4 linked regions of the Daphnia pulex genome follow. The protein of the gene in region 2 binds, or shares a complex with, the protein of the main gene of each other region. Links are inferred from orthologs where the notes say so. Each region holds a gene or a part of one and is shown on either strand. Other genes may lie near its edges.

Region 1 (5,451 bases), on a different chromosome or scaffold from region 2:
ACAATATCAAAATAAACACTACCTGCTGGCCCAAACTGAAACAAGTTGAATTCCGAATCGAAATTCTTGACGTAATTGGGCGTCAAGTGAATGTATTCGCCAGGATCGCCACATCCGCCCAATTGCACGGTGTATGGTCTTTCTCCATATTTCCAGTTCGGAAGGTCGATTTGAATGTCCGCATTCTGGTTTAGTTCATAAAATTTTGCCATTTGCGAATTAATTTCTCCTTTTTATGCGATAAATTTATTCAAGTATACTTGCAAATTTTCCCATGTACTGGCGTTGGCTATGACGTTTTCCCACGTCTGAGGGATCAGAATATTCACTGATTCAATGTAGGATCGATTCCGAGTTGCTTCATACAAATCAGCTGAAGCTTCAGTGATTAACAACTTTAAGAAGAAATAATAAAATTCTTTTGTAACAAGAACAAGGAATAGTAAAAGCTTTGAAAGAAACTCTAAAATGTTACCTTGATGTTATCCAATAAATCATCAGCTTGATCTGAGGGAACATCAGGTGAAATTGCTATGACAATATCCCGATAGCCGTTGTTGGTTATGTTGACTCGGCTGCCGATGGCGCGAAGAGACAGGCAGCTAAAGAGCAGCAACAAGAGAAGACGATGATGACAGACCGCCATGGTGTCGTCGCTTTTGGAACTATAAAGTGGAACTGAAAAGTGAAATTTTCGGACCAGTTTATATACACGCAACCTAAAGGTGAATCACAGAAAAAAGATTGCACAACCGTTTGCGATCAATTGAATAATACCGTTAGATAGCCTTATACGTGACAAATAAATTATCTGCAAGCCGTTCGGCCCCTTTTGCTCCTTTGTCATGGGCCATGGGTATTTTTTTTTTTTTTTTTTTTAGCGATATCTTTTTATTTTTTCCTTTATCCTGGTGAAGTTGAGAAATTTTGATAGCAAACCGGGGAAAAAACCAACTTTTTGTCAATTTTGATACTTCAAAGTACAAGTACATCTTGGCATTTTGCCCTGGAGACAGCGTTGTGACTGTTTTGTTTGCGTACTTTAGCTTGAGATATAGTAATGTTTTGCGAGTTATCCTTTACTCCCATCAATTGTTACTAGCCAATGCAGAGAGTAAATAACCCAAGATAATTACATTAAAGGCTTGACAAAGAGTTATTGTAGCCAGCAAATAAAAAACAAATCGACAAAGTTTTTGGCAATCATCCTTCTTCTATTCGTTCACAGGGACGATTTGAACAGAGAAAACAACTTCTTCTCATTAAAGGCTCTCAAAGCGATCGCCATCTACATGTTTAATTACAATAGAATAAGGCCTAAGGATTCGCGTTTCTTGCTTCAGCTTACGTGCCGCGTCATCTTTCGTTGATGACGTCCTGCAGTCCAAATGACACAGATAAATTGGTTTGAAATAAGTAAAATTTTATATCTTTTATCTGGTGTTTTATAATGCTACTAATAATTTCCTTTTAATTTATTCTTATTTGAGATGATCAAAGGCGAAATAGGATTTTAAAAAGTGCCACAAACGGCGGTTCCCTGCAGTAAAGAATCGATATCTCTAATCCTCTATGCCTTTTCCTGGTGCACTTCAGGAAGTAGACATAAAATCAGAGCTCGTAAGCAAACAGAGGTAGTTCAAATATAGAGACTAGAACAAGGTTATGAAATCTCGGTAGATAGTGCAGTCGATACTGTAGTTGTAATATGGCAGGCAATACCTGCCGATTTTCATAGGAAATCAAATGATAAAAGTAATACGAATGGAAGTTGAAAACATTCGAGTATTTGAATGCGCTTAAATATTGTTTAGTAGTGAAATGAGTAGCATTGGAATGCTATTGAAAATATTGAGTTCAAAAAGGCTACTTATTGTCGATTACATTAAACATGAGAAATGTCTTAAAATTAGGTAGTTTTTATATGGGAATTTTATCTTTATTAAACTCGGTGCAGTCCCGCGTTAGATGATTTTTCAAAAAAGGACTCTCTTTTGTAGAACACCATTTTTATTGATCCGTCGACTCGCCATCTAGGGGATGATAATCGAGTAACATTTTTGTATGAAAACGTCAAAACGGTAATCTCAGTCAAAACATATTCTTTGAACAGATAAATTATTTGATTATCACCGATTACTTATTAGTTAAACTTGAATGGTTTGACATTTACTTCTTTCCAGAATTTCCGCTTTCCGGGATTCGGAAAAAAAAATCAAGTTGATTTTAGAATGGCAACATTGCAATTTACAAACTTGGCAACGCAACCAAGTTTTGAAGCGTCGTCTGATCGTTTCGAAAACACGACTATTTTTATGTTTCTTACTTTGTAAAAAAACCACTGAAATGGAAATATTTGATTTTGAGAAAACTCGGTGTTCGTTTCTGGTACAGTAAAAAAATCTATCAATGAGCCATATTTGAAATAAATTGAAAAATCTTATGTCTTCTGTGTTTGGTTTCTGTAGGATTCCATTTCTGAAGCTCTTAAACTGGGTGGTCCACCCACTATCAGTGAATTACTTTCAGTTAACAATACAGCTCATCTTGGGTAAATTTAATCAAAGCAGAAAGTATTTACATATTATTGTAATTAAACATATTTATTGTAGGGAAGCTGATAAAAAAGCTGTATGGGATCAGGCGTTTAGAGACAGATTTTTGAGTGATTCCTCAAACTTTTCCATACCATTGTTTGAAAAGTTGTTGCAGTTGAGTCTGGATTGTGCAGTAGCTCTAGTATGTTCTCCAACACTGCCTGTGATTTTGCTCACAGATGCTTTTGACATCCTGTCTCTGGAAAAATGTGAGGAAATTTTCTACATGGTTGAAATGAAAGTAGCGATTTGGAAACAAGAGCTTTTCTTCAATCAGTGTAAAAATACCTTACTTCGCCTTTGCAATGGTATGTAAAGACATTTTTCCAAAATTCTAATAATGTATGACACAAATATTTATGTAACTGGATGCATCTAATTCTGTATTGATATGAATTCAATCCATTACTCTTATTTCAATGTATACCACTCTGCTAAATTCATTTACAGTGTTTCGCTTTATGTGAGTTGTGTTGCTGAAATGAATTTTATATGTATATTTTTTTTCAGATCTGCTGAGGCGCTTGTCCCGAAGCCAGAACACGGTTTTCTGTGGTCGAATTCTTCTATTTCTTGCAAAATTTTTCCCATTCTCTGAACGATCCGGACTTAACGTAGTAAGCGAATTTAATTTGGATAATTTGACGACATTTGGAGCTAAAGATGAAAGCTACGCTGCTGATATATCTGCTAATTCTGAAAAGCACAAGGATGCAATGGAAGTAGAAGAAAGGTATATATATTTGATTGACAAGTTATTGCAATATTTTTCTAAATTTTCTTGTTTTGTAGTTTGAGCTCCGACTACAATCTGTACAAAAAATTTTGGTCCCTACAAGATTTCTTTCGAAACCCTAATCAGTGCTATACGAAAATCCCGTGGAAAACGTTTTGTTTGGTAGCTAAAACATCAAGTATTTCAAGTTAAAATTTTCCATCTAACAGAAAAACAATTATTCTTTAGCATACTAGTGATGTTTTGTCTGCATTTTCTACTATCAAACTGGATGAGCGGAGAAACCGCTCTAAATGGGATGAGGCAGATGTGGCATTAAACATCGATATGAATGAAACCAGCATGAATGGTGGAAATGTCCAACAATATTTCGCCAAATATTTGACGAGTCAAAATCTTCTCGAACTTCAGCTCGGTGACTCCAACTTCAGACGTTACATTCTGCTGCAGTTTCTGATTATGTTCCAATATCTGGATTCACCTGTCAAGTTTAAACAGTTAGTTTCAATAAGTTTCATTAGTTAGACTATTTCAACCGCTTGAATTGCTTCTATTTATAGCGAAACTCACAAGCTCAACGAAGAACAAACTACGTGGGTTTCCGAGGCTATCGATCAAGTCTATCGGTTATTGAAAGATACACCTCCAGATGGCGCTTCTTTCGTCCAATCTATTCGACACATACTAAAGGTATACTGAGTTGTATAAAAGTAGTTTTAAAAAATATCATCCATCGGTGTTTGTTGGATGTAGCGGGAAGAATTATGGAGCAACTGGAAGAACGATGGCTGCCCGGAATTCCGGCCCAGCATAACCAGCTCAACCACTGATAATGATACTATAAAAGATGGTACCAATGGAGAAAAAAAGACGATCGTAGTTGGCCGACCAAGACGGCTCAAAAGAAGTCTTGGAGATCAGATTCGAGAAGCTTCAAAAAGAAATAAGTGCATTATTGGAAAGTAGGTAAATTATGAAATTATTTGAAAACATTGAATTACAGCTTTTTCTCTTTAGCGCTGAGATGAATCGTTTGTGGAATCTATGTCCTGATAACATGGCTGCCTGTCGATCTAAAGATCGAGATTTTCTACCTACATTAGAAAACTATTTTGAGGAAGCCATTGAGCAACTGGATCCTTCAGTGGAAAGCCAGTACAAGTAAAAATTTGCACTTTAAAGCTTACATTTTTCCGAAAATGTTTTAACTGAATGAGCGATTTTCGTGTTTCCAGGCGAGTTAGTGAGGCTAATTTTGGGTGGCGTGCTTTGCGGCTTTTGGCTAGACGAAGTTTACATTTCTTCACTCATGGTAATACTCCTATCACTCGGCTGCCAGATTACTTGGAAACGCACGTTCGCAAACTGGCCAAGGACATGCAGGTAGAGTAAAATCAGATGAATATCACGGTTCCCATTCTGCAATACAGGGAAAAGTCAGGGATTTAGGTTCTCATTTGGGAATATATATATATATTTTTTTTTAATATTTTGAGGTATTTTGAATTTTGTTATCGAGACTCATAACTTTTGCACGGGTTTTGCTGTTAAACAAAGATTTTGAAATAGTTGATCCAGAAGAAATACAGACGAGTTTGTTAGGTGTCAGGTAATTTTTCACATTCATTTGTCTGGAAATCCCTGGATAATCTTGATATATTACTGGTTTTGTAGTTGGCTTATTCAAATAATATGATAATAAAAATTATAGGCTAACATTTATAAGTATTGTGGGAGAATGATATTGTATGCTACGTTTACGAAAAGCATTTATCGAAAGGGTTTGAATAGGCAAGCTTAGCTTGCAACTAGCGATTTGATAAATATTGTCCTAATTTTCTAACCGTGCAAAATTTGAAAATTGATCAAACTTTAAAATAATGCGGTCAAAACATTGTTGCGTACATTAATAACAATCTTCTCATTTAGCAGTCAGCAAATGCATTGCCTAATGTAAAACCGGAGCCAGTGGACGACGCTGGTGAGGTAGAACAAATGGAACCGGAAGCAGACCCAGTGTCCAATAACTCGGAAATTGAAGGAGTCCCAGAAGAAACTAATGTAAAACCGGATGAGATGGAAGAAGAAGAAAGCACTGAAAAGAAACCTGTACTTTGC
Region 2 (4,825 bases):
GATTGACTCACTGAGTCGACTCGGCACGTTCACTTGTTCACTCGGCAGATCTTTTTTTTTTTTAACTTTTGAAACTTAAGCTTTGTTGCCAGTTTTCCTATGAGAGGCAGAGCTTTCTCGAAGATGGTCTTCTTGGCTCCTCCTCTTTAGCCCTCAAGGGAATTTTTGCCGGAAGTTTCAAAATTGAAAAGTGACGCCTCCGGCCTCTTGCGGTTTGCGGGTGATTTTTGGCACGATCAAATTTACTAGAAAATTATGCAGTTTTCCCAAGTACGTTAATGTTTAATAATATGACGCAAGATAGAAAAAAAACAATTTTTTTTATATGAACAAAGTTCATGAAATAATTATAACTTGGCCTTGGGCATTTTTGCGGCAGTTGGAAACATAATAATTTTTTAAATCTGGCATCACGCATCACAACTGTCATTCGTCGTTCTGCGTGCGATTTTTTCAGTGAATTTTCAATATTTGCTTTTTTTTTTACAATTAACAACTGAAAATGGCTTTAGAAAGGGCAAGCAGTTTATGGATTGGTGGGGTAAGTTTTTCTGGTCCTTTTTGGCCAAAATGTGTATCAAATGTAAACGTGTTCGGTGATCTGTATTCACTTTTTTGCCGGCTCAATGCAAGTCTCGTGTCGAATGGAATCCTCTAATGTGTTTACTGTTTATATTTTAGTTAGAACCTTACATGACAGAGGAATTTCTTATGCGATCTTTTGAATTAATGGGAGAAAAACCTGAAGCCATCAAAGTCATGAGAAATAAGCACACTGGATTACCTGCTGGTTTTGGATTTTGTCAGTTTCGAGATGAAAAGCAAGCAATGGAAGTTCTACACAAATTGAATGGCAAAATCATTCCATACAGTCAGCCGGTAGTGTATTAACTTTTAATTTACCATAATTTATATTAGTTATATTATCTGTTTTCCCACTTTTAGCCAAGCCGTTTCAAGTTAAATCACAGCACAAACACTAAAGGTTCTACAGCCGATCATGCACTGTGGGTGGGAGATTTGAGTGCTGATGTAGATGACTATGGCCTTTACAAATGTTTTTCTGCAAAATATAACTCAGTTCAATTGGCAAAGGGTAATTTGTAAAATTTCTGTAATGATTTTATTGGCAATTATCTGAACTTCTCGTATTTTATGTTTAGTGGTCAGAGGCAGCAATGGAGAAAGTCGCGGCTATGCGTTTGTTAATTTTTCTAATGAAAGTGATTACAAAGATGCGCTGACACATATGCAAGGTCACAGAGGACTCGGCAGCAACCCACTTAGAGTTTCATTGGCTATTCCTCGTAATTACAACATGATACCTGGTAAATGCACGCTTAAACTTTTCTTTGGAGTACATTTCATTTCATACTCTTTTAACTTTTAGGATCCTCATCCAGTACATCTTCTACTTCTACGTTAACTGCATCGATTGCTTCGTCAATTGTCCAGGCCGCAGCCAGCGGCCAGCCAGTTCAACCTCAAGCTGCTGCTGCAGCAGCTGGCTACGGACAGTACGTCGATCCAGCCTATTGGCAACAGTACGGTGGCTGGCAAGGATATGGTTACCAAGGCGGATACGGCTATGATGGTCAACAAGCTTATGCCGGATATGGCGTTGCTGGGCAAATGCCTGCTCAACCTGAAGAAGATGAGTTTGAGCTCATAGAACACAATACACCCGTCGATATTGAGAAACTGAACAGAGAACTTTTTGAGCGCAATCAGGATTTGTGGGATGCACTAGATGAAGCTCGCTGGACAACATTCAATCCAGAGAAAGCCGTTCCGGCAGTTAAAGCTGAGGAAAACGGAAGCAGTACTCCTACAGTAGTGGCCGCCTAATTTCTTTTTATAAAACACTATTGACCATCTCATACGATAAAAAAACAAAGATTCATTTCTGCTTGTCATCTGATTTTGTTTTACAGAATGAATACATTGATTTCAAATAAATACAGATTTCCAATTCTTTCACTTTCTGTATTATCTAGTATATTTAATTATTGACATGATTCTACACCCATAAAACATTTCCTCCACCCACATTTTTTAAAACATGCACTCTTACTCAATCGTAAATCACGACATACTTTCTTTTTTCCGCTAGGTGTCACTTTACTACCCAATAGCAGTCGAAAAAAGTTGAGCGTCATTAGTTCACAGCCGGGCAAACATCAGCAATTGTTTTCATTGACTTCACGAGAAACATTTCTAGATAGCTCGAAATTATCTGTTTTCGGCATTTTCTTGACCGTAATTGAACTTTGGTTCAGCAGTATTCTAGCACAAAATGGCTTCAGGAGGCAGAGTACCAAATAATTCAACTTCCTTATCCTTACATGAAAGGTATAAATCATTAGGCAATTTGGGTTTGTTATGTCGTATATGCGATTGAAATAGTTGTTTGCCGCAATTTTCCCCCTGTTAAACATTGAATTTCCTTGCTTTTATAAAGTATGTGTTGATTTTCTTCTCATTTGCTGATTTTTAACGCATGAAAATTTTTCGTTACAGATTCTCCAAATTACGAAGCTCAGCAGGGGGTCAGAAATTGGCTGGAAAACTGCAAGGGGCTAGAAATAATGCAGCTAATCTTCAAAAGGCATCAAGCAAGAATAGCAGACTAGCTCAACAGATGGAAAGACGAAATGCATCAGTCAGTGCTGCTTTGAAACTGAAAAAGGTGCAATTCCTCGTTTTTAATTCATAACCAGATATACTTACATCATTTATACTGTTATTCAGAAAAGCATCAAACAACGCCTTGGAGCCACAGTAAACACCAGTACTCGATTTCGCGGAACGGCCACCCAAACTCAAAGGAGACTCACAACCAATCGTGGAGCTGGTCGCGGGAGTCAGTCGCGAGGATCTCTGCGAGGAAGTCGAACGCAAGGGCAAACGGTCACCCCAACAAAGATAATTCGAGGCCGGGGCGGACTGAAGCCCATTGTCAGCCAAACAATCGTTCGTGGCGGTGGACAAGGAAACAAGAGAAGCACTCGCGGAAGAATCATTTCTCCATCGAAAAAGCCAGCCCCCGTTGCTGCCACAACCAATCGTTCGCCGACCAAACCTTCGCGTGCTAGAGGCAGCGTGAGAGGAAGACGAGGTGGTCGAGGGCAGATGACATCTTCATTGATTACCGGGCAAGCTGAAAGTCGTATCCAGCGTGGAAGAGGAAGAGGACGAGGCCAACGTGGTGGTAAGGGACCCAGTCGTGGAGGAAGCAGCTTGCCGACATCTCCGCGCGGTCAGACATCCGGACGTGGTCGAGGGCGTGGTCGAGGTGGCTCTACCAAGGTCAGCAAAGAAGATTTGGACAAGCAATTGGATCAGTACATGCAAAAGACTCGTAGCGCTCTAGACAATGATATTGAATCCTACATGTCTAAAATTGGGGACGTTGAAATGAATTAAATATGCAATAATCTTTCTCCAGTCGTTACCTCACCTGTGCTGCTCCCCAACTTCAAACGAAAGAACCTTCTTACTAATAACTCCCCTTCGCCAAGTCTTGATTGACTATTAACAATGTTTTAGTCCTTAAAGTTAAAAGTGAATCCAATTCAGAATTTGTCTTTGAGAAAATGGTTGGACTGTTGTGAAGAGTCTAGACAGAAAAAAGAGATTTTGGACAACCTTGTCTTGATTTCATTCTAGCACTTGATTAAATGGTTCTTGTACTTTCCCCCAGTTTTTGGAGTCCCTTTTTGCCGTGTGTTTCTTGCTTTTCCCTCCTGTTACGGCGCACTTAGCACATGTATCTTTTTATAATTCATTCATATTTCATCCGAGGACTTGAGTGTGAAAAGGTGTGCCTGTGAAACGAGAAAGAGAAACTCATCCCAAAAAATACAAATGATTAACCTCAACACTAATTTGATTTTTGTTCCTTCATTTAATCGTCGCTGATCATAGACAAAATTACAACAAATTACTCTAATGATTGGCCAGCAGTAATCAAGCGGGACCGATCGAAGCTAAATTAAATGGATAAGCTACAATTTTCCTACACAACTCAAGTCGAAATCAACTTGCTGATGGGCAACGGAACCCAACGAAAGAGCAACATTGTACAGAGTGTCTGGTGACCATTCGAGTGGGATCCTTGGATAGGTGCCAGCGTTAGGAAGCGAAGGGAAAAGACCCAGTTGACGCAGAAAAAAGCGAAAGGGTTTCGAACTCAATGCGGAGGCTTCCGCTTCCGTCCAAGGGACTATCGGGCATGGCGTATTCAATTTCAAGCTCAAACAGGTAATTGGATGACGGAATTCGTGGTCGGAGTAAATGCCCAAACGTGCTGCACAGGCCGTCAATAAAGACGACTGAATCCAATCGAGTTGTTTCTGAAATCCTATATTTATCGATACATTAGATATAGCTTAAACAAGATGGGGTGTTATAAAAAAATAATAAGACTTACCATCGCCTTTGAGTAGAATAAGTAGCGACTCAAAATCGGTTCGGAGATTTTCAAACTCGTCATCGTCGTTGTTAAAAGTTTGGCTAGTGAGACTTTCAAATTCCATCGAACGCCAATCGTCTTGATTGGAAAATTCACTAGTCTCTCGGTCAGGTGATGTGTTGCCAATTTTGCCACGGCTCAGATTAAATATGTGTACAGCATATGCAATTAGATCGTGCCAATCGTCAGAAATCTAAATAGCAGCAGCAACCAAACGTTATCCATTAAATGAGTGAAACACGGAATTGTTGACTGAACCTACTTGGAATGCCTCCTGCCAGATTGAGGCAAAATGACGCATAATATTTGGCTGGCAAACGAGAGCGATTTCACTTAGATCGCAACCCACAT
Region 3 (3,908 bases), on a different chromosome or scaffold from region 2:
GTGGCAAGGAGGTAGGCCAGCGAATTGGGCATGGCTGGCTGCCCAGTGGCTGCCTTCTTGGCTGCTTTTGCTTTTGCTGAGTTGCCTACTGGGGCTGACGCTGAGGGGTGAACACAGTTGTCCACGGATTCTGGCAACTGACAGTTGGTCCATTCTTGAGCATGTTTCAACTCTGGGGATTCCCAATAAATTGATACATTAAATATGGAATCATGAATGAGGAATACCTTGATTACCTATATGATTTTTCAATCCCTGAGGTGTGCACACCCTTTGACAATAGTTACAGGTTACGAGGTAGAATTCATCTCTGACGGGACAGAGCCCAAAGAATAACATATCTGCAATGATGAGGCACCAGGAGTGTAACACAGTGGGAATATTAGAGACTGACTTAACATATACATCAAGCTCATGAAACCAATCACCTTGCTTCGGCAATTTCATGGCGTCGCCTTCTTTTTTCTGATTGACTTTGGATTGTTCATCTGTGTCACCTGCGTAATGATAAGGCGACAAAGGTAATATCGAGAATAACATTTTATTTTGACAATTTAAACAGCCGTCCATCGAGATAGGCCGAAGCCGTACCGATTCGATAACACCATCAAAACAATTTTCACAAAATATCCGTTAGCTATCAAGAAAAGACAACTTATAAGGCAATTTACTCACTTAATGGACTATCTCTGCCTAATCTATCAGCCCAAACAGACCAAGGCTGGCCATGAAGACTTGTTGGACTGTCATCGTTGGACGCCATCTTTGTTAACAGAAAATTTTTTCTTAATTTCTCCTCTCCGAGACTCCGTCTTCTTTCCTCACCTGCAACAGCGTTGCAACTATAGTGAAAGCAGCTCGGCAGCTACCACTGCCCTTGATGCCTTGCCTCCTCTAATTACTCTATGGCATTAACACCCATTGGACTATTTCAAAATTACCTTTAATATAGTACTTGTATATTTTTCCTAGAATTAAAAAATGCGTTGCGTTTCTTTGCCACTTGAAGACCTTAATGTGTAAGCGTACTAAAGTTGTTGATTCTATTCGTTGGCAATTTATGAAATTTTATGATGATTTAATGATGAAATTATCTTCTAGCGAAACGTTCTAGCAATAATTTAAATCCTCAATCGTCCGTCTATTTTTTTTTTAATTTTGGCAAAAGATTTTATGCATTGCGGAACTCAAAAAGTACATTTTTCTTTGCGCTAAGTATCTTTTTACAATTTTCACACATGGACTGCAACAAGTATGACTATGAGAACAAGCTGCACATAATCATAATGACATCAACTGATAAACACATATGTGAAAATTCCCCATTGAGGTACCAAATCTCTCTCAACTCAGTTATTTTATATTACCAACCAATCAACCATCTGACATCTTGACAAATACAACCATTAATTGACATGCACCTTTTATACTTACAAATAAATGTTGTTTGTAAGTATCTTGCACCCAAAATTATTTTTTCACTGTCAGTTACACACCTGTTTAAAATGAATCTGTCAATCTTGATCACCAATCTCAATTTTCAGGACAATAAAAACAGGTTTTCCTAGAATGTAAGGCAACAGTTTAATTAAAAAGAAGAGATTGACGTTAATCTGGAAACGAGAAAAACAACACTCCAGATCCAGCATTTCATTGGATTCTTTCCTTGACATCACCTGATTGATTCTAAACCGTTCAATGGTTTCCCAAGTATATTGCTGATCTGCTGGACTAGCTCTCTTTCGGTTTTGCTAATGTTTATACAGGCATGCAAGTTTAACCCTAAACAAAATAGATACCTAATCAATCGGATGATTTTTTAAAAAGCCATGTCTCCTTCCTTTCATTTGAGGGGCGTGTCGTCTGCTGGCGGATTTAAAAAACAAAACAAAAGACGAGCGAACTACGCTTACGGCAGACGAAAATATTTTTTCATTTTTCAGTACTTTCCGGCGTTTCCGCAGCGACATTTCTCCTAGGTTTGTCATCTCATTCTTTCGCCCGGTTTGACATCTCAATATTCTCAAAGCTTTACCAGTTAAATTGTATTATTATTGGTCTTATTTTGATCCCAATCATTATTCACAAATGGGAGATGGTAATTTGACTTGTTAGTAATATTATTTCGGTTAATTTTCATCTTGTACTTCGTTATGTAGAAGAGATCATCCGAAGGAGGCTGTTGTTTGATGGCGAAGGAACTGGTGATGAAAGAAGACTTAATGTATTGCTTAAAGGTTTCCTAGCTTGGTGCAACTCTACAGATAGTGTTGAAGAAACGTAAATTAATCTTTGTATAAAATTCTTCTATACTCTATATGTGATGTATTTTTATTTGTTTTACAGACAAGCATCCTACGCTAGAATGATTGGTCAGATTGCCCAATGTGAATTTGCTGCCACAAAATCCTTGAGGTGCTGTGAAATGAACACTGCAGAACAGCAGCACTATGACGACCTCTACAACCAGATTGAAGAAGGAATTGTGTCAGCTAAAAAAGACATTGAAGCAACCAAGAAGGAGTTGCAAGAAGCAAGACAGATTCGCAGGAATAAAATGGAATATGATGCTTTGGCTGCCATTATTCAAACACAGCCTGATCGAAAGAGCAACCAAGAGAAATTATCCCTATTGCGACAGGAACTGGAAGCTTCAGAATGTGAATGTCAAAAACTGGAGGCCAAATTAGAACAAAGACGCAAACAATTTCACTTACTCATTTCAACTATCCAAGGATTACAGCAACTTCTTAACGATGATGAAGCATCCTAATAATTGTTCATTTTGTATGCATCCCTTTTTTCTATTTTTGAATAATAATGCTAACAAATAAAAATCATTTGAAACACCAAAAAAGCTATGTATGAATAAACTATCCAAACGGTACATATACGACTTGGAATGCCATAGAAGAATGTTTCAAAAAACACCACCAATTCTTCTCAACTATCCATAGACCTCTGGTAAGGAATGGGTATAGGAATGAGTGACTTAAAAAAAGGGCGTTTACAACGCAACAAGTTTTTTCGCGGCTTCGGCAATAGCCTTGGCGCCGATTCCAAAATGTTCTAGGAGAACCTCTGGAGGACCGGAGCGGGGAACTTCGCGAACTGCCAAAATCTTGACGATAATATTTCGTTGTTCGGCTAGAGTTGAAGCAACAGCCTCACCCAATCCACCTTCTGGGTAATGGTCTTCAACGGTCAAAACCCGGCCGTTGCAACGAGTGGCTTCCTTCAACAGCAAATCGTGATCAATGGGTTTGATGGTAAATGGATCGATGACAGCAGCCTTGATGCCGGCTTCCATCAGCATGTCGGACGCCTTCAGCGCTTCGTGGAGTGTAACGCCGGCGCCAACGATAACCAAATCGTCTTGATCGTGACTACGAACAACGTGACCCTTTCCAGCAGAGAAAACTTGTTCGTTCTCGTAGATGACGGCTGTGTTGGGGCGAGATGTACGAATGAAGCAAATTCCTTTGGTTTTTCCGGCAAGTTCGGCGGCTCTCTCGCAGCTGACGGCGTCGCTGGGATAAAACACGGTGGAGCCTACAAATAATAATTCGTTTAGTCAAACATTTCCCTAAAAGATGTCACTTTAAACTCACCTGGAATGGATCTGAACATGGCCAAATCCTCAAGTGCCATCTGAGATGGGCCATCTTCTCCGATGGAGACTCCAGCGTGTGATCCGACGCAGGTAATGTTGGTCTGCGAGATGGCACCCATGCGGAGCTGGTCGAAAGCTCGGGTGAAGAAAGCGGCGAAAGTAGAGACATAAGGGATGGTGCGATTACGGCATCCGGCTCCGATGGCTACTCCCACCAAGTTCTGCTCGGCGATGAAACACTCGATGTAACGCTCGGCTGACACCTGATAATAGCGTTAGTTGAGAATTAACAAAA
Region 4 (4,820 bases), on a different chromosome or scaffold from region 2:
ATTAATTAGGAGAAAAGTTAGCTGTTTTCAGCTTATATAATCGTTACTTTTCTAATCATAGCATAGAATAAGCTTACTTTAACATAACATTTATTCAGAATTATATAGTATAAAATCAATAAGAAAATGTTAGCTGTTTTCAGCTTATTTTTTCCCTAGAAGATAAAACGAAAGCTTTCCCAAGCTTTTATTTTCATTACTTTTACTATTTCAAGTAACTTTAAGTTGAATCAAAACCAAGGAAGAAAAAGTAAAAGTAAATTCAAGCTTACTAAAAAAAAGTATGAAGGCTGCTTGGAAAATATCAGTAATTTTGAGCTTAATAAAGCTTGAAAAAAAACATCATCGACGGAATAAAAAAAATCTAGCTACGTTAAGCAAAACAAACCTAACTCTTGGGCTACTATATGAAATATAAGCTAATGTAAGCTAACGTAAGCTTGGGAAACGGGGAAAAAAATAAAAAAGCACTTTTAAGCTATCTGTCGCGTACGGGTAGACCCGTGAAAAAATCAACTGGGGGGGGGGGGAAATTGTATATATCGACTGGAATGGAATCCAATCAAAAAAAAGGAAGAAGAAAAAATAAAGGGACCAATTGGCCAATACAAACGGAACGAAACGACGGCGATGATATTATATAGCTACACGGAATAGGAGAGACTCTTATTCATCTAATAATATCCAGCGAATCTCGAAAAAAAAGGTCTAAAAAAGAAGAAGAATGGAATGCAATTAGCATAGTTCATCAATATGGAACAGGCAACAATAACGCAATCATCGTCGGGCGGAATGCCTATTGTAATAGAAACTCTCCTATATATATTATATACTTAATGTTACAACACACACAGCAGAGCTGCCCTGCTGTATTTATATATATATATATCCGCGTTGTAAATCACCGGGATATATATAACGGGCCAGCGGGTCCAATCTCCATAAAGTGTCGAGGCACACCAGCAACAAAAAAGCGTATCATCGGAATCGTATTACCCTATAGACGTTTTCATTTGAAGGGGAGAAGGAAGAGTTTTAAATAAAATAGAAGGAAAAAAAACCCTTTTTTTTCCTTTATTTCTTATATATTTTTATTTTACTACTCTTTGGGTATAGGCCAACGAGACGAGTCCAGTGACCAGCCAAAAGGTCCAGGGAAAGAGAGAGAAAAAGAATCTTTTTGGGCAAAACGAAACGAGACGTTCGCAGATTTACGACTGCGATATGTTATTACGCACACACGGGACCGATTGGCTATCAAAATAGAAGAAGAAGAAGAAGAAGTTCTTTTGGTGTGTGTAATGATGGAGAGAGCAGCCAAAGAAAAAGGAGGTCCAGTAGGAGCATCAGCAGCAGCCCAGGCCAGGCCAGGCCACAAGGCGCGCTTGGACGCCCAGTCGCTTTTATCGTCAGTTAACGGGCAAGAAATTTGCTTATTTTATGGCCGTCTTCTTTTTCTTTTCTCTCCTAGAAGAAGAAGAAGAGGGGGACTCGTAAATTTCCCTTTTTTTTCTCCTTACTACCCCCGCTCTCTTCTTCCATCGACTATACAGCTGTAAATTCTTGTAAAGTCGATGCTAACTCGTTAGTCGTTAGCGTTATATAGAAGCCGTTCTGGTTGTAGTTGTTGTAGATGTCTTATGTGCTGTGTGCCGGCGCTGTGGGTCCAGCATGCACTGGCAGAGAGAGACTACGACTTTTTGTTGCTTTATATTACCCCGATGCCCAAACACGGATCATTTGATGATTGCGCGCTGTGAAAGAAAGAAAAAAAGAACAAAATATAAGAAAACTGAAATCTATATAGTCGTAGTTTTTGAAGAAACGGGCATAGCTGCTGCTGCTGCTGCCCATCCCAGTTGATTTGGACTCGGTTCTTTTGGCTTTGGCGCATATTATTGCCGTGTAGATATATATATATTTATCGGACGTGTAATAACATTCAAAATGGCGCAAGCTCCACAGCTATAGTTTATATGTGTAGCTGGGACTTGGGAGAGAGAGTATAATATTCATGCAGCTAGATCTCGTCTGATAGAGGCTGGACGCCCTTCGCTTGTTGAGTTCATTGTGTGTGTGTGTGTGTGTACTAGTCACGCTTGATTACGGTGTGTGTCCCGTGTTTGGTAACAAAAGCATTTCCACCTATCCGCCCACCCTACGCCTTTTTTATTTTATTTTTGTTATTTTGGGCCAGCCAGTCGATAAACGTATCGTTTAACGTCCGACTAATCAGAGCCAATTGAGGAGACGACATTACCACCACGCATTCCTTGCCCGACCCCTTTTTTCTTTTATTAGTGAGTTAGGAATTTCAAATTTCGCGCTCCAACTGCCATCTGGCGGATGAAGAAGAGACTTGGCATTGGAAATGGCGGGACGACCGGCTTCGCGTTAGTTCGTCTGCACACACTGTGTTTTGTTGACACGCGAGTAAAGGTATATAAACCGCTTTTTTTTCCCGAAATTATAAGAAGATGGCAGTCGCCGAATTGGAAGAGCTGAAAAATCATTTTAAAACGCACACTCGAACGAGGGAAGTCTCTGCACATTCGGCCAAGGTTCACACGGTTGATTGGAATTGCGATGGAAGACGGTTAGCGTCGGGTTCCTTTGACAAGACGGTGTGCATTTTTACTATGGAAAGCGACAGACTGGTTAGTATTAGTCCCGGCTTATCAATCATGCAGCAATTATAATGGAGCTTGAGGCATTCTGTTTCAGGTTAAGGAGCAAACGTTTGTGGGACACAATGACAGTGTCGATCAGCTATGTTGGCACGAAACCAATCCTGATTTGCTCAGCACCGCCAGTGGAGACAAAACCATGAGAGTTTGGGATGCAAGAGTTAAAAAGAGTGTCGCCACAGTAAACACCAAGGGTACAATTAATTACGAAATTATGCTTAAACATTCAATCCTTCATTAATGTGATTTGACAGGAGAAAATATCAACATCACGTGGTCACCTGATGGAAATTCCATTGCAGTGGGAAATAAGGAAGACCTTGTTACTTTTATTGATGCCAGGAATTTTAAGATTAAAATAGAACATCCGTTCAAGTTTGAAGTCAACGAAATAGAATGGAACAAGGCTAGCAATCTTTTCTTTTTGACTAGTGGGCAAGGCTGCATCCACATATTAGAGTAATGATGAATTTTCTTCCCCCTGCTTTCAATCTAGCATGACGCTATCAATTCTCTTGTATCTAGTTACCCAGAGCTTACGACCGTTCACGTCACACAGGCTCACCCCGCCAACTGCATTTGCATCGAATTCGACCCCACTGGACGGTACTTTGCCACTGGGTCGGCCGACGCCCTAGTCTCTCTGTGGGATGCCGATGAAATTGCTTGTTTGCGCACTTTCTCCAAGTAACATTAATGCCAATAATAACGTGCCGTTTTCTATTGAGGTTATTCAATTACTGACTGGGTGTTTCCCCTTTAGGTTGGATTGGCCAGTTCGGACATTGAGTTTCAGTCACGATGGGTCCATGTTGGCGTCCGGGTCAGAGGACTTGCTGATCGACGTCAGCCACGTAGGTACAGGCGAGCGCGTTATCAGCATTCCAGTTGACACGCCAACCTTCACAGTCGCCTGGCATCCACGCTCTCACCTGCTGGCCTACGCCTGTGACGATAAAGACGACGGAAACAGAGACGCCGGAACTGTGAAGCTCTTTGGTCTCTCTAACGAGTGATGGGCCCATACGAATCAAAACTAGGAGGTCTCGTGTTTTATACAGAATCCAGCTTTTTTTTTTTTATTTTTTCACTTGCAGATTTTCTTGTTTACTCTTGTCAAGAACTATTTGCCAAGCTTACAAACTTCAACTGTGTTGAGAGAGATACAAGTAAAATGGATCTCAGATCAGAGATCTTTTCCAGAAAACTGAATTGTTCCAGGACACATTTTCCCTTTTTTTTAACGTTCAAACATAATTAATTACTCAATAATAATTTTCGTTATTACTAGATCCCATATTTGTTAAAAGGTGATGACCGTTCGGCACAAATTTTTAGTCAATAATGAAAAAAACAGGGCGTTAACGTTTAAAGAAATACGACGCTTTTATGCAAGCAGTCCATCTAGGTAAGACTTATTCCTATCCTTATTCTATTACTAAAGGCAAATTAATTTAAGTTGTCGTGATAATAAGCATATTTCGTAGAAACAGATAGATTGATAGTTTGTGTTACATCATACGTGCCGTTGATTATGTACAAGGCTAAAATGTCGTTTGATATTTCGTAACGGTAGTTGGTAAACACTAAACACACACACCCATATATAGGCAGCAAAGCGGCACATAGACGAATGTATCGTTTTGCTCGAGTAGATTCATGTTCATTGTTCTCCGCAGCTAGAACGTGAAATACTCGGAATGCTTCTCGTGTCATTCCAACATGGAAAGCTGTTATTTATCTGCTTTGCGATTGGTGTAAAACGGATGCGAGAAGTTGAAATTATTCGCATTCTTTAATTTTTTATTTCTTTTTTGAATTTGTGCGTTGCGCAGTTAAAGTTTACTTTTGAAAATTCTGCCACTGTGTAAATTATGGTCTTATCTCGTAATTAGACTCATCAAATTATTCTTAAATTTTCTCGTAATAAGATTCGAAAATCAATTGAACGTTTTAATAGTTTATTCGGTCTTGAACCTCGTATATGTAGACCAAGTTGCTATCTATAACTTTCATTATAAATACCTAGCGATGTTTCATTTCTTGTCCCCTTTCTAGCCCGATAAGAAAACAGAAAACATACGAGGCATTTCTTTAAAAAAATAAATAATAAAATGAAATGTGAACCTATTC

The links. The genes of interacting proteins can lie anywhere in the genome.
Region 1: chromatin target of PRMT1 protein-like (region 2) and THO complex subunit 1-like share a complex: the UniProt entries of both Homo sapiens proteins name them as parts of the transcription/export (TREX) complex. The link is inferred for Daphnia pulex from reciprocal best matches to the Homo sapiens genes CHTOP and THOC1.
Region 3: chromatin target of PRMT1 protein-like (region 2) and THO complex subunit 7 homolog share a complex: the UniProt entries of both Homo sapiens proteins name them as parts of the transcription/export (TREX) complex. The link is inferred for Daphnia pulex from reciprocal best matches to the Homo sapiens genes CHTOP and THOC7.
Region 4: chromatin target of PRMT1 protein-like (region 2) and THO complex subunit 3-like share a complex: the UniProt entries of both Homo sapiens proteins name them as parts of the transcription/export (TREX) complex. The link is inferred for Daphnia pulex from reciprocal best matches to the Homo sapiens genes CHTOP and THOC3.

Annotation. Positions count from the first base shown.
Region 1 is NC_060026.1:6,262,546-6,267,996, reverse strand, and holds the start of THO complex subunit 1-like, read left to right. Parts: upstream 1-2,230; 5' UTR 2,231-2,346; coding exon 2,347-2,388; intron 2,389-2,468; coding exon 2,469-2,551; intron 2,552-2,612; coding exon 2,613-2,905; intron 2,906-3,107; coding exon 3,108-3,330; intron 3,331-3,389; coding exon 3,390-3,495; intron 3,496-3,561; coding exon 3,562-3,830; intron 3,831-3,893; coding exon 3,894-4,023; intron 4,024-4,086; coding exon 4,087-4,295; intron 4,296-4,350; coding exon 4,351-4,494; intron 4,495-4,568; coding exon 4,569-4,716; intron 4,717-5,262; coding exon 5,263-5,451. Other genes in the region: calcium-activated chloride channel regulator 1-like, read right to left, coding at 23-185, 261-395, 476-646. UniProt on the Homo sapiens protein: Component of the THO subcomplex of the TREX complex which is thought to couple mRNA transcription, processing and nuclear export, and which specifically associates with spliced mRNA and not with unspliced pre-mRNA.
Region 2 is NC_060027.1:3,847,079-3,851,903, reverse strand, and holds chromatin target of PRMT1 protein-like, read left to right. Parts: upstream 1-2,140; 5' UTR 2,141-2,296; coding exon 2,297-2,352; intron 2,353-2,520; coding exon 2,521-2,689; intron 2,690-2,751; coding exon 2,752-3,426; 3' UTR 3,427-3,881; downstream 3,882-4,825. Other genes in the region: tRNA selenocysteine 1-associated protein 1-like, read left to right, coding at 503-541, 682-879, 946-1,096, 1,164-1,328, 1,391-1,848; protein timeless-like, read right to left, coding at 4,008-4,363, 4,433-4,667, 4,737-4,825. UniProt on the Homo sapiens protein: Plays an important role in the ligand-dependent activation of estrogen receptor target genes. May play a role in the silencing of fetal globin genes.
Region 3 is NC_060023.1:12,053,366-12,057,273, reverse strand, and holds THO complex subunit 7 homolog, read left to right. Parts: upstream 1-1,941; 5' UTR 1,942-2,088; coding exon 2,089-2,098; intron 2,099-2,159; coding exon 2,160-2,280; intron 2,281-2,346; coding exon 2,347-2,773; 3' UTR 2,774-2,987; downstream 2,988-3,908. Other genes in the region: ataxin-7-like protein 1, read right to left, coding at 1-172, 237-341, 429-497, 676-763; transketolase-like, read right to left, coding at 3,008-3,552, 3,612-3,876. UniProt on the Homo sapiens protein: Component of the THO subcomplex of the TREX complex which is thought to couple mRNA transcription, processing and nuclear export, and which specifically associates with spliced mRNA and not with unspliced pre-mRNA.
Region 4 is NC_060028.1:7,657,019-7,661,838, reverse strand, and holds THO complex subunit 3-like, read left to right. Parts: upstream 1-2,023; 5' UTR 2,024-2,477; coding exon 2,478-2,657; intron 2,658-2,724; coding exon 2,725-2,881; intron 2,882-2,941; coding exon 2,942-3,146; intron 3,147-3,212; coding exon 3,213-3,374; intron 3,375-3,450; coding exon 3,451-3,703; 3' UTR 3,704-3,899; downstream 3,900-4,820. UniProt on the Homo sapiens protein: Component of the THO subcomplex of the TREX complex which is thought to couple mRNA transcription, processing and nuclear export, and which specifically associates with spliced mRNA and not with unspliced pre-mRNA.